3 linked regions of the Canis lupus familiaris genome follow. The protein of the gene in region 2 interacts with the protein of the main gene of each other region in a pairwise test. Links are inferred from orthologs where the notes say so. Each region holds a gene or a part of one and is shown on either strand. Other genes may lie near its edges.

Region 1 (2,614 bases), on a different chromosome or scaffold from region 2:
CAACTGAGGACAAGTTTTCAAGGTAGATTGATTAGAAGTGCATCCTGGCCTTGATGATGACATGCAGAATGGTAGATAATTATAAAATGTTGCATGTTTGAGGACCTACGCATAAGTCAGAATTGCAGAAGTTTAGTTTGGCAACATTGAGAAAGGGATGAAGCCAGAGAGATGGCATGGAGGAACACAATGAGGGAAAACAATGTCATGGTCAGGGGTTTGCAATTTTATAGGAATAAGAGCATAGGAACCCATCAAAGGCTTTCGTAGCAGGGGAACAGAATTCAGTTTGCAATGAGAAAGGACATTTTGGTGGAAGTATGTTTATTGGATGGGAGAGAAAAGGAAAATGTTCCTAATCTTGCCTTCTTAAAGTTACTTCCACCAAGGGCTTTTGGGGTGTCTTAAGTATGTAGGATCAGAGATCTAGAAAGAAGTTTGAGGAATAAACCACTAAGCCATTCCCCTACTGTCAGACAAGAACATATGGTTGCATATCCCATGTCTTATTCATGCGCACAGTTGAGGTTGGTCATTTCTGTGTTCAAATGAAATAATGAAAGACAAACTGAAGAACCAGATTCTTAATTCTGACTTAATCTCATTTATTGCAACATGAACCAAATAAATTCTTCCCACACCTGAGTGACAATGAACAGCATTGTAAATCAAATAATTTTATGCCAAAGAGCGATAAAAAGAAAAGATAAAAATATGAAAGGAGGAGCACAAATTACGTCAGGCAGAGTAAAAAGCAAGAAAGGGCACTACTAGGAAAGAAGCAAAAGTCCACAGTTTGAATTTTTTGTCCCAGATCCTTAGCATGATTATTAACTGGAACAAGGAAGCCACTGCCCTCCCAGAGCAGAGCAAGATGGACGGCAAGTGCTGTACACATGGTTCAGAGGTTGGGATCCACTGAAGACAGGACGCAGAGGTCTGAGGCTGCTGGGTACAATGCTCAGTGTTTGAGGACCACAGGGCAAAGAACCCAAGGGGCGGCATCCATAAGTGAAGAGGCTCAGGGGTCGGCCACTGTTGGACACACAGGTCAGAGGTCTAAAGGATACGGGGAGGCAGGAGCCAGAGACGTAGGAAACAGCAGGAAGAAAAGTGGTTCCTTGGCAGGGTCTGGACACGTAGTAAGTAGTAGAAGGGTAGCAAGATGTTTCACAGTTGTTGGGCTCACAGTGGCCTGGCTGACAGCTGGTTGATTCACTGCAGGTCTCCTGGCAGTTGTCCAGAGGCTGGGGATGGTCTTGACAGTTAGTAGGCAAGCAGACGACATCACCACAGCTCACATGGGTAGAGCAGAGGGCCACGGAGGAGGTGAGAGGAATATGGCAGGGATTTCTGAGAGATCCCAAGCTGTAGTTGGCAGAGCAGTTGTGGCAAGACATAGTGAGGTTTCAAAAGCAGGCTCTCGTTGAATGGAAAGAAGTGAGTGTCCCCCCTCATTTAACTTGATCCCTTATATATCCCTGGAAGGTGGTGATTGGGAACGCAGACTCTCTTCCTCCTTGTTGTAGGAAGCTGCATCAGCACTCTCTATTATAGCCCTGAAAGGGGAGCTCCCACCTCCCATAAACCTGGATGTTCCTTCTATGGATTAAGTATATCTATAAAGAAGTGTGACTGAATTTTAATAGGATCTCTCCTTAAAATATCCAATCAAAACAGGTATGTCTGAAGGTCATTCATGTAATCCAAGTATAACCACCACTATGTAAACGTTCTTAGAATTCCTGTCTTGGAATTCCCTTTAAAAGTTGTAGCAAAACTCTCCGGGAGAAAAAAAAAAAAAAAGGCGTAGCAAAATTCTTTGAAACAGTGGCAAATTCTTTCTCTTTGAGGGGAAATTCTATTCTTTTTGGAAATCGCCAATAGTAAGAAACTTGAATACAAGTATTTTGTAAAAGGATGTGGAAAATCTATAACCTAAAGATGTGGAAGATCTATAACCTAAATGATTTGGGGCAGAAAAAGTTTAAAAGCGGTATAACACAGAAAATGTCAATGTGCCTAAATTTATGCTTTGCTTTATTTTTAGAATCCTGGTGGAAATGGCTTCCTACCAAAATATTTTTATTTTAAAAAGCGATACTCATTTTATGCATTTCAATAAACAGAGTCATGCTGAAAAGCTTGGTTTATGTTTAAAGTATTCTTACTATAGAAAAATAAGATGATTTCAGTTGAAAATATAAATACTACTGTGAACAACAGCAAGTAAACAACACCCCTCAAAGAAAGTTGAACAGCATGACATTTTTTTTTAATAGTTAGTATAGGTTTATATATTTCATGCTTACTCATGTTCCTAACAAAAACTAATGTTCTTGATAGAATAAAAAAAGAAGAAAGAAATGATGATTAGGACCTGGAAATGGGTTTGGTTTTGCTTCTTACATTGGTTCTGATGTCAATTTCCAAAAAAAAATAGCTTCTAAACTGCTTTACATGGGAAATAACATCATATATATATATGAAATCATCATATATATAGCATTAGTGCTTTCAAGGCTATTTGGGAATATATTTTCCTGTAAAAATTGGTTTAAAAATGCTTCATTGTATTTAGCTTCATCCATTCCACTGTATTTTTATATATCAA
Region 2 (2,743 bases):
GGCGGGCGGGCGGGGGGCTCACTTACTTCTGGAAGGCGTCCTGGCTGTTGAGGAAGGGGAAGAAGGACGGCTCGCAAATCAGCCCATGGTCCAGGCAGGCGTCGGTGCAGGCCCTCCCGGCGGTGGCCAGCCAGGCCCGGAGGGAGTGTGCTGGGGGCCAGGCCCCGGGGGCCACGCTGGCATTCTGGGCCCACTCCAGGTGGGTGGCATTGGGGGCCAGGACGAAGGGGCTCTGTGGGGCTCGGGCCCCTCCTGGGGCAGGGCCGGGGGCTGCACAGAAGTCCTGGCCGGCGGGGAGTGGGGGGTGGGGGGGAAGCAGCATTAGACGGGGAAATGGGACCCAGATGCCACCGGCTGACACTTGGGCGCATGGCCTTGCCACCACAGCAGCCACACCACCTGGGGAGCTCCCTGAACGCCAGGCAGACTTCCACACGTTATGTCATTTATGCCTGGAGGCAGCCCCAGCAGAAGTGTCCTAACACGTCCCCCGCTATTTTATGGGGCTCAGAGAGGTCACGGGCCCTGTGCTGGCCTCACAGCTGGATGGCAGGGGCCAGCCTGGATGCCGACCCCCCTGCACCGCCTCACTGCTGGTCACACTTCAGCTGGGCTCAGAGTTTCCGCCCTGAGGCTCATGTGCCCTACCTGCGGTGGGGCTGGGGGGGTAGGGGGGCTGGGGCTGACCAGAGGGGCGCTCCTCGCCGGGGTCAGCTCCAGGGGCCTGCAGGGCCCGACAAATGTTTCCGTGAGCCTCATGGTGACATCCCTGTGGGAGGCAGGGGGCTGAGAGTCCCGGGCTCTCAGTATTCCTGTCCGTAAAGCTAATGATCTAGAACCTCTCTCCAGCCCAGACACAGGCCACATGTGCTCCGTCTGAGTATCAAGTAGTTATAAAGCACCTTACACCCAGTCCCGTGGCCCAGCCGGGCCCTGCCACTCCCGGCCACCCACCCCAGAAACCCGGAGCCTGGAAGGCCACCGCCAGCCCTCGGGAGGCTCAGATCCCCTGCTTCTCCAGCAGCCCCGTCCCCTGGGTTCTCAGCAGAGTCCTCTTCCCTGGGGGTGGGATGGGGGTGGACGCCTTCTGTACCTGCCACTCAATCAGGTATCAAACTTTCAAGCAAGTTCTTTATCAAAATAAAAATAACGGTCCGTGCTTCTGTGTGGTGGTAGGGGGCTGGGCTCTAGAGCTGGTGACCCCAGGGGCCCCCAGGCCTGGACTCGGAGCAGGAGAAGAGCAGGATACCCCTGCATCTCCCAACTCCCCCCCGCCCCCAGCATCTGCAGGAAAAGGAAACTGAGAGGAGCAGGAGCAGGAGTTTACGGGGCACAGAGCCCTGCATGGAGAGAGCTTCCCCAGACAATGGAGCTGGCTAGACCCCCTCCTCTGGTCTGATGGGGTTTGGGGTAGTCCCCACCCCCCATCCCTGGGGCAGAGAGCGGAGGGCCCACCTACTTGGTGCTGGATGTAGGCGTGGATTCGCTCCAGCATCCCCTCACAGGTGTACTCGTAGGGCAGGTAGGGGTCTACCTGTGGGAGAGACGGGCAGACACATGGGGCAGGAGGAGCCCCGGGCCCCACTAGGCCTGGCTGCTGGGGGCCGGCCAGGCTCAGCATTGGGGGGCAGAAATCTGCTGTGCCCAGGGAGCCCACCACCCCATCTACCTGGCCCTCCACTCAGATCTCCGGTGACCCCTCCCGTGGTACTGGAGGTGGCCCCACTCCCTCCGCCCCTTCCCAGCTGCACAGCTCCCATCCCCATCCCCTCCTGGGCTCTGACGCCTGCTCTTCCCATAGCCAAGCCAGATGGATCCACCCTCCCCTCTTGGGTGACACCTCCTCCAGGAAGCGGTCCCTGAGCCCCAGCCCCACCCGTGACAGGACCACTTTCCTTGGTGGCACCTGAGAATTCCTCCATCATCATTTCTGATTTCTCCCTCGTGTCTCTCAGGTTACAGGTCCCTTGAGAACTGGACTAGGACTTGTCCACCATCGAGTCCACCGCCTGGCATAGTGCCTGTATACAGTAGGTGCTCAGGAAACAGCACCTCCAGCTCTGTCCGCACTCTGCCCAGAACATAGAATGTTCACGAAAAGGAACACAGGGGCAGCTCCCGGTCAGATGGAATGAGACGGATCTGTAAGGCTTCCTGCCCAGGCCAGGCACCTGGGAACTATGGAGGGCACCTGCACCCAGGGGAGGCCACAGGCCATCTGTCTAAATAGCCAACGGTTACAAAGCACCCGCACGGGGGTGTGGCTGGGAGCAGACGGGGTGAGGAGCAAGGGGAATGGGGAGAAGCCTGAAAGGGGGTGCCCACCTCCTGTGGGGGGGTACCGCACCTCCTCTCCACTCTTCTAACCTGACCAAACCCGCTCCTTTTACCCCGCCTAGCACACAGCCCCTCAGAGGAAACTGAGGGCTGGGGGGGGCAGTGTGGATGACCCGTCCCAGACACACACGGGCCTTCGACCTCCCTTGTCCCGTGTGTGTGCAAGTGTGTGTACATGTGTGTATATGACATATTGTATGTATGCGTGTCTGTTGTGTGCATGTGCGTGCTGTACATATATATGTGTGTACAAGTGTGTGCACCGCATGCACATGAGCATATATGATGTATGTATGCATGCATTTTGTGTATATGTGTGTGTTGTGTATATGTATGTGCTGTGTGCTATGCATGTGCAAGTGTGCACATGTGTACACGTGCATATGATGTATGTATGCGTATGTTT
Region 3 (3,277 bases), on a different chromosome or scaffold from region 2:
CTCTTGCGCACTGTACATTCATATCATTTTTCTTCTCCGGCCCCATGGAGGAAGTGAGAAAGTTGGCACGGTCACCCAGGGCTTCGCAGGACCCGGTCCCTCAGTGACAGATGGACAATGCAAGAATGAGCTCCTTCCTGGAATACCCCATCCTCAGCGGTGGCGACTCAGGGACCTGCTCAGCGCGAGCCTACCCTTCCGACCATGGAATTACAACTTTCCAGTCGTGCGCGGTCAGTGCTAACAGCTGTGGCGGCGACGACCGCTTCCTAGTGGGCAGGGGGGTGCAGATCAGCCCGCCCCACCACCACCACCACCATCACCACCCCCAAGCGGCCACCTACCAGACTCCCGGGAACCTGGGGGTGTCCTACTCCCATTCGAGTTGTGGTCCAAGCTATGGCGCGCAGAACTTCGGCGCGCCTTACAGCCCTTACGCATTAAATCAGGAAGCAGAAGTAAGTGGTGGGTACCCCTCGTGCGCTCCCGCAGCTTACTCTGGAAATCTCTCATCTCCCATGGTCCAGCATCACCACCACCACCAGGGTTATGCCGGGGGCGCGGTGGGCTCGCCTCAGTACATTCACCACTCATATGGACAAGAGCACCAGAGCCTGGCCCTGGCCACGTATAATAACTCCTTGTCCCCTCTCCACGCCAGCCACCAAGAAGCCTGTCGCTCCCCTACATCAGAGACCTCTTCTCCAGCACAGACCTTTGACTGGATGAAAGTCAAAAGAAACCCTCCCAAAACAGGTCAGTCTTGCCATTCTTTGGATGTTCCTTGATGGTTCTGGAAGGAGCTAGTTTGCTTAGTTGCCAAGGAAAATTAATACTCAAGAAAAGTTCTTGCTTCTTCCCACCGGTGTTGTAGGGTGTGGAGAGAGTGCCCAGGTGTATCGGGGCAAAGGAGCATCTGGGAGTGTTGTGTTTCCCAAGAGGCTGAGTTTTAGAGGTTCTGGAGTAGGAAGTGGGTAGGGGTGTGTGTTTGTGTGGTGGTTGGGGGGTGGTTCTGTTAATATCTCCAGGCTCCATTAATCACCAGTCTGACCATGCAAATGGTTGACTTCAGATTAACACTTTACACCTCATCAGTCTCCTTTCCCAGCCCAGTTTCTGTTGAGAAATTCTTGATCTCCCCTTTACCTGAATGTTGCTCTGAAGCATATAGGGGATCTCATATGGACGGTAAAAATTTTTATCTTTCTCTCTCATCGCTCCCCACCATGTCCCCAGGGAAAGTTGGAGAGTACGGCTACGTGGGTCAACCGAATGCAGTGCGTACCAACTTCACCACCAAGCAGCTCACCGAGCTGGAAAAGGAGTTCCACTTCAATAAGTATCTGACCCGCGCCCGCAGGGTGGAGATCGCAGCATCCCTGCAGCTCAACGAGACCCAGGTGAAGATCTGGTTCCAGAACCGCCGGATGAAGCAGAAGAAACGAGAGAAAGAGGGCCTTTTGCCCATCTCCCCTGCCACCCCGCCAGGAAGTGAGGAGAAGGCGGAGGAATCTTCAGAGAAATCCAGCTCCTCGCCCTGCATTCCGTCTCCGGGGTCTTCTACCTCAGACACTCTGACTACCTCCCACTGAGGCCCACCCAGCCCCAGACTCCGCAACCCAGGCTACTCTGAGGGCTGGGGACTTCTTACCCAAAGCACATTCTTAGCTTATCTTCCCTTCCATTTACAGTCTCTCTCTTCCTTTCTGATCCTATCTGGGGAGCTCCTGGCCAGAACAGTGTGTTTCCAGAGAATTCTAGATTAGAGGCTTGATTGAGGTGTGTGTGTGTGCTAACTCCTTGATGCAGATTAGGTGCCATAATCAATTTTTTGACGGCTCCCAACACCCCTCCCTACTTTTGGAAGATTTCCACAGAATCTGTTCCTTTTAGATGTCCTTTGGAATATAGTCTCCTTTGCCAGCAGAAACATGTCAGAGGGAGGCCTATCTTTTACCTATCTGTATATTAACAGTTCTCCCCTACTTTGCCCTTAAAGTAGGATAGAGAGAAAGGAGAGTCCAGGAGCTCATAAAGAAGAGATGCACTATGAGCGTGTTTACACAATTAATTCATCCCTTAATTTAATTCAATTTCATGTGTGTGTTTGCTGGTTGTAAATACTTTGTCCTGAGAGATTTATCTTTATACAGATTTTCTAGAAATGTTTAGATTAAGTGATTAAAACAGGGTGGGTAACTCAAAGCTGGTACAATTTTATATGTGATTATAGGTTAAAGAATAAAATTGCTTACTTAAACTCAGTCAGATGCCTCAGAGGGTAGCCTGCATTTGTTCTTTTGGTGAGTTAGGAAGACCTAAAAAACACAAGGTTCGAAAACCTTGCTTCCTGTGCTAAGTCTCTCCCCATCCCCACCCCATTTATTGTTTCTCTGGCCACACTCTATTTAAAATTTGTGCTGGGTTATTCAGAACCTAAAGGTATTATTCAAGCCAGCTTCTTCCTTCCACAGTTATCTTTGCTGGATATGATGTATTTTCAGCTCACTTGTTAATGTGATGGATGGCACAATGAATGTATATTTTGTGTGATTCGTGAATAGTCTTTTGCATGTCGCACAATGTTTTCATGTCCCTGAAGTACCACACTGAGTTATATCAGTTATTCTTTGTGAGTCTATGATATTCCCCCTTTCCTGTACAATCATGAACAGCTCTGTGATCCTGGAGTAATGTGATCCAGAGCAGAGTTTACGGGTCTTAAGATGTCTGTAATAAATATATTCAAGTTTCACATATGCTTAAGCATCCCTGTATTTGGCTTGGCTGCAATTTGTTGGTTCCAACAAGATTGGCTCATTTCACATGGTTGCTGGGGAAGGGTGGTGTGCACTTTCAGAGGTGGGCCTTTCCTTGAAAAAAAAGTAAATGGCTTTCCATTATGTAGCTGAAACTTCCCCTGTGAGTGTCATGGCACCTAGCGAATGCCTATTTAATAGGTTGACTTTGTTTAAAATAACAATAGTTCCTTTATTATAATCCAAGTTCATAATGGAAAAAAATGGATGGTGAAGAAATTTATAAGGCAGATCTATTTTTGAAAGAAACATGGATACTTCCTGGGTCAAGTGCTAACCTTTTCACCTCCAACTGAATGTTGACGTATGTATAAACAGAACGCCCTTCAAAAGCCCAAACTCTTCAGTCCGTCTTTCCTCACATCAGTGAACCAAGAGCTAAGGGATTCACATTTAATGAGCTCCAGTATAAAGCTGTTTGAGGGCAAGGCCTCCACTTTAACCCTCTTCTTTTTCTG

What was found.
Region 1: the proteins of MGAT5B (region 2) and KRTAP26-1 interact in a two-hybrid assay, tested with the Homo sapiens proteins (3 studies listed by BioGRID and IntAct). The two-hybrid records come from large-scale screens. The link is inferred for Canis lupus familiaris from reciprocal best matches to the Homo sapiens genes MGAT5B and KRTAP26-1.
Region 3: the proteins of MGAT5B (region 2) and HOXA1 interact in a two-hybrid assay, tested with the Homo sapiens proteins (2 studies listed by BioGRID). The two-hybrid records come from large-scale screens. The link is inferred for Canis lupus familiaris from reciprocal best matches to the Homo sapiens genes MGAT5B and HOXA1.

Annotation. Positions count from the first base shown.
Region 1 is NC_049252.1:25,722,917-25,725,530, forward strand, and holds KRTAP26-1 (keratin-associated protein 26-1), read right to left. Parts: upstream 1,427-2,614; 5' UTR 1,401-1,426; coding exon 831-1,400; 3' UTR 617-830; downstream 1-616. UniProt on the Homo sapiens protein: In the hair cortex, hair keratin intermediate filaments are embedded in an interfilamentous matrix, consisting of hair keratin-associated proteins (KRTAP), which are essential for the formation of a rigid and resistant hair shaft through their extensive disulfide bond cross-linking with abundant cysteine residues of hair keratins.
Region 2 is NC_049230.1:4,786,488-4,789,230, forward strand, and holds part of MGAT5B (alpha-1,6-mannosylglycoprotein 6-beta-N-acetylglucosaminyltransferase B), read right to left. Parts: intron 1,535-2,743; coding exon 1,460-1,534; intron 284-1,459; coding exon 27-283; intron 1-26. UniProt on the Homo sapiens protein: Glycosyltransferase that acts on alpha-linked mannose of N-glycans and O-mannosyl glycans.
Region 3 is NC_049235.1:40,363,043-40,366,319, reverse strand, and holds the end of HOXA1 (homeobox protein Hox-A1), read left to right. Parts: exon of another isoform or gene 1-54; 5' UTR 55-110; coding exon 111-756; intron 757-1,236; coding exon 1,237-1,592; 3' UTR 1,593-2,759; downstream 2,760-3,277. UniProt on the Homo sapiens protein: Sequence-specific transcription factor. Regulates multiple developmental processes including brainstem, inner and outer ear, abducens nerve and cardiovascular development and morphogenesis as well as cognition and behavior.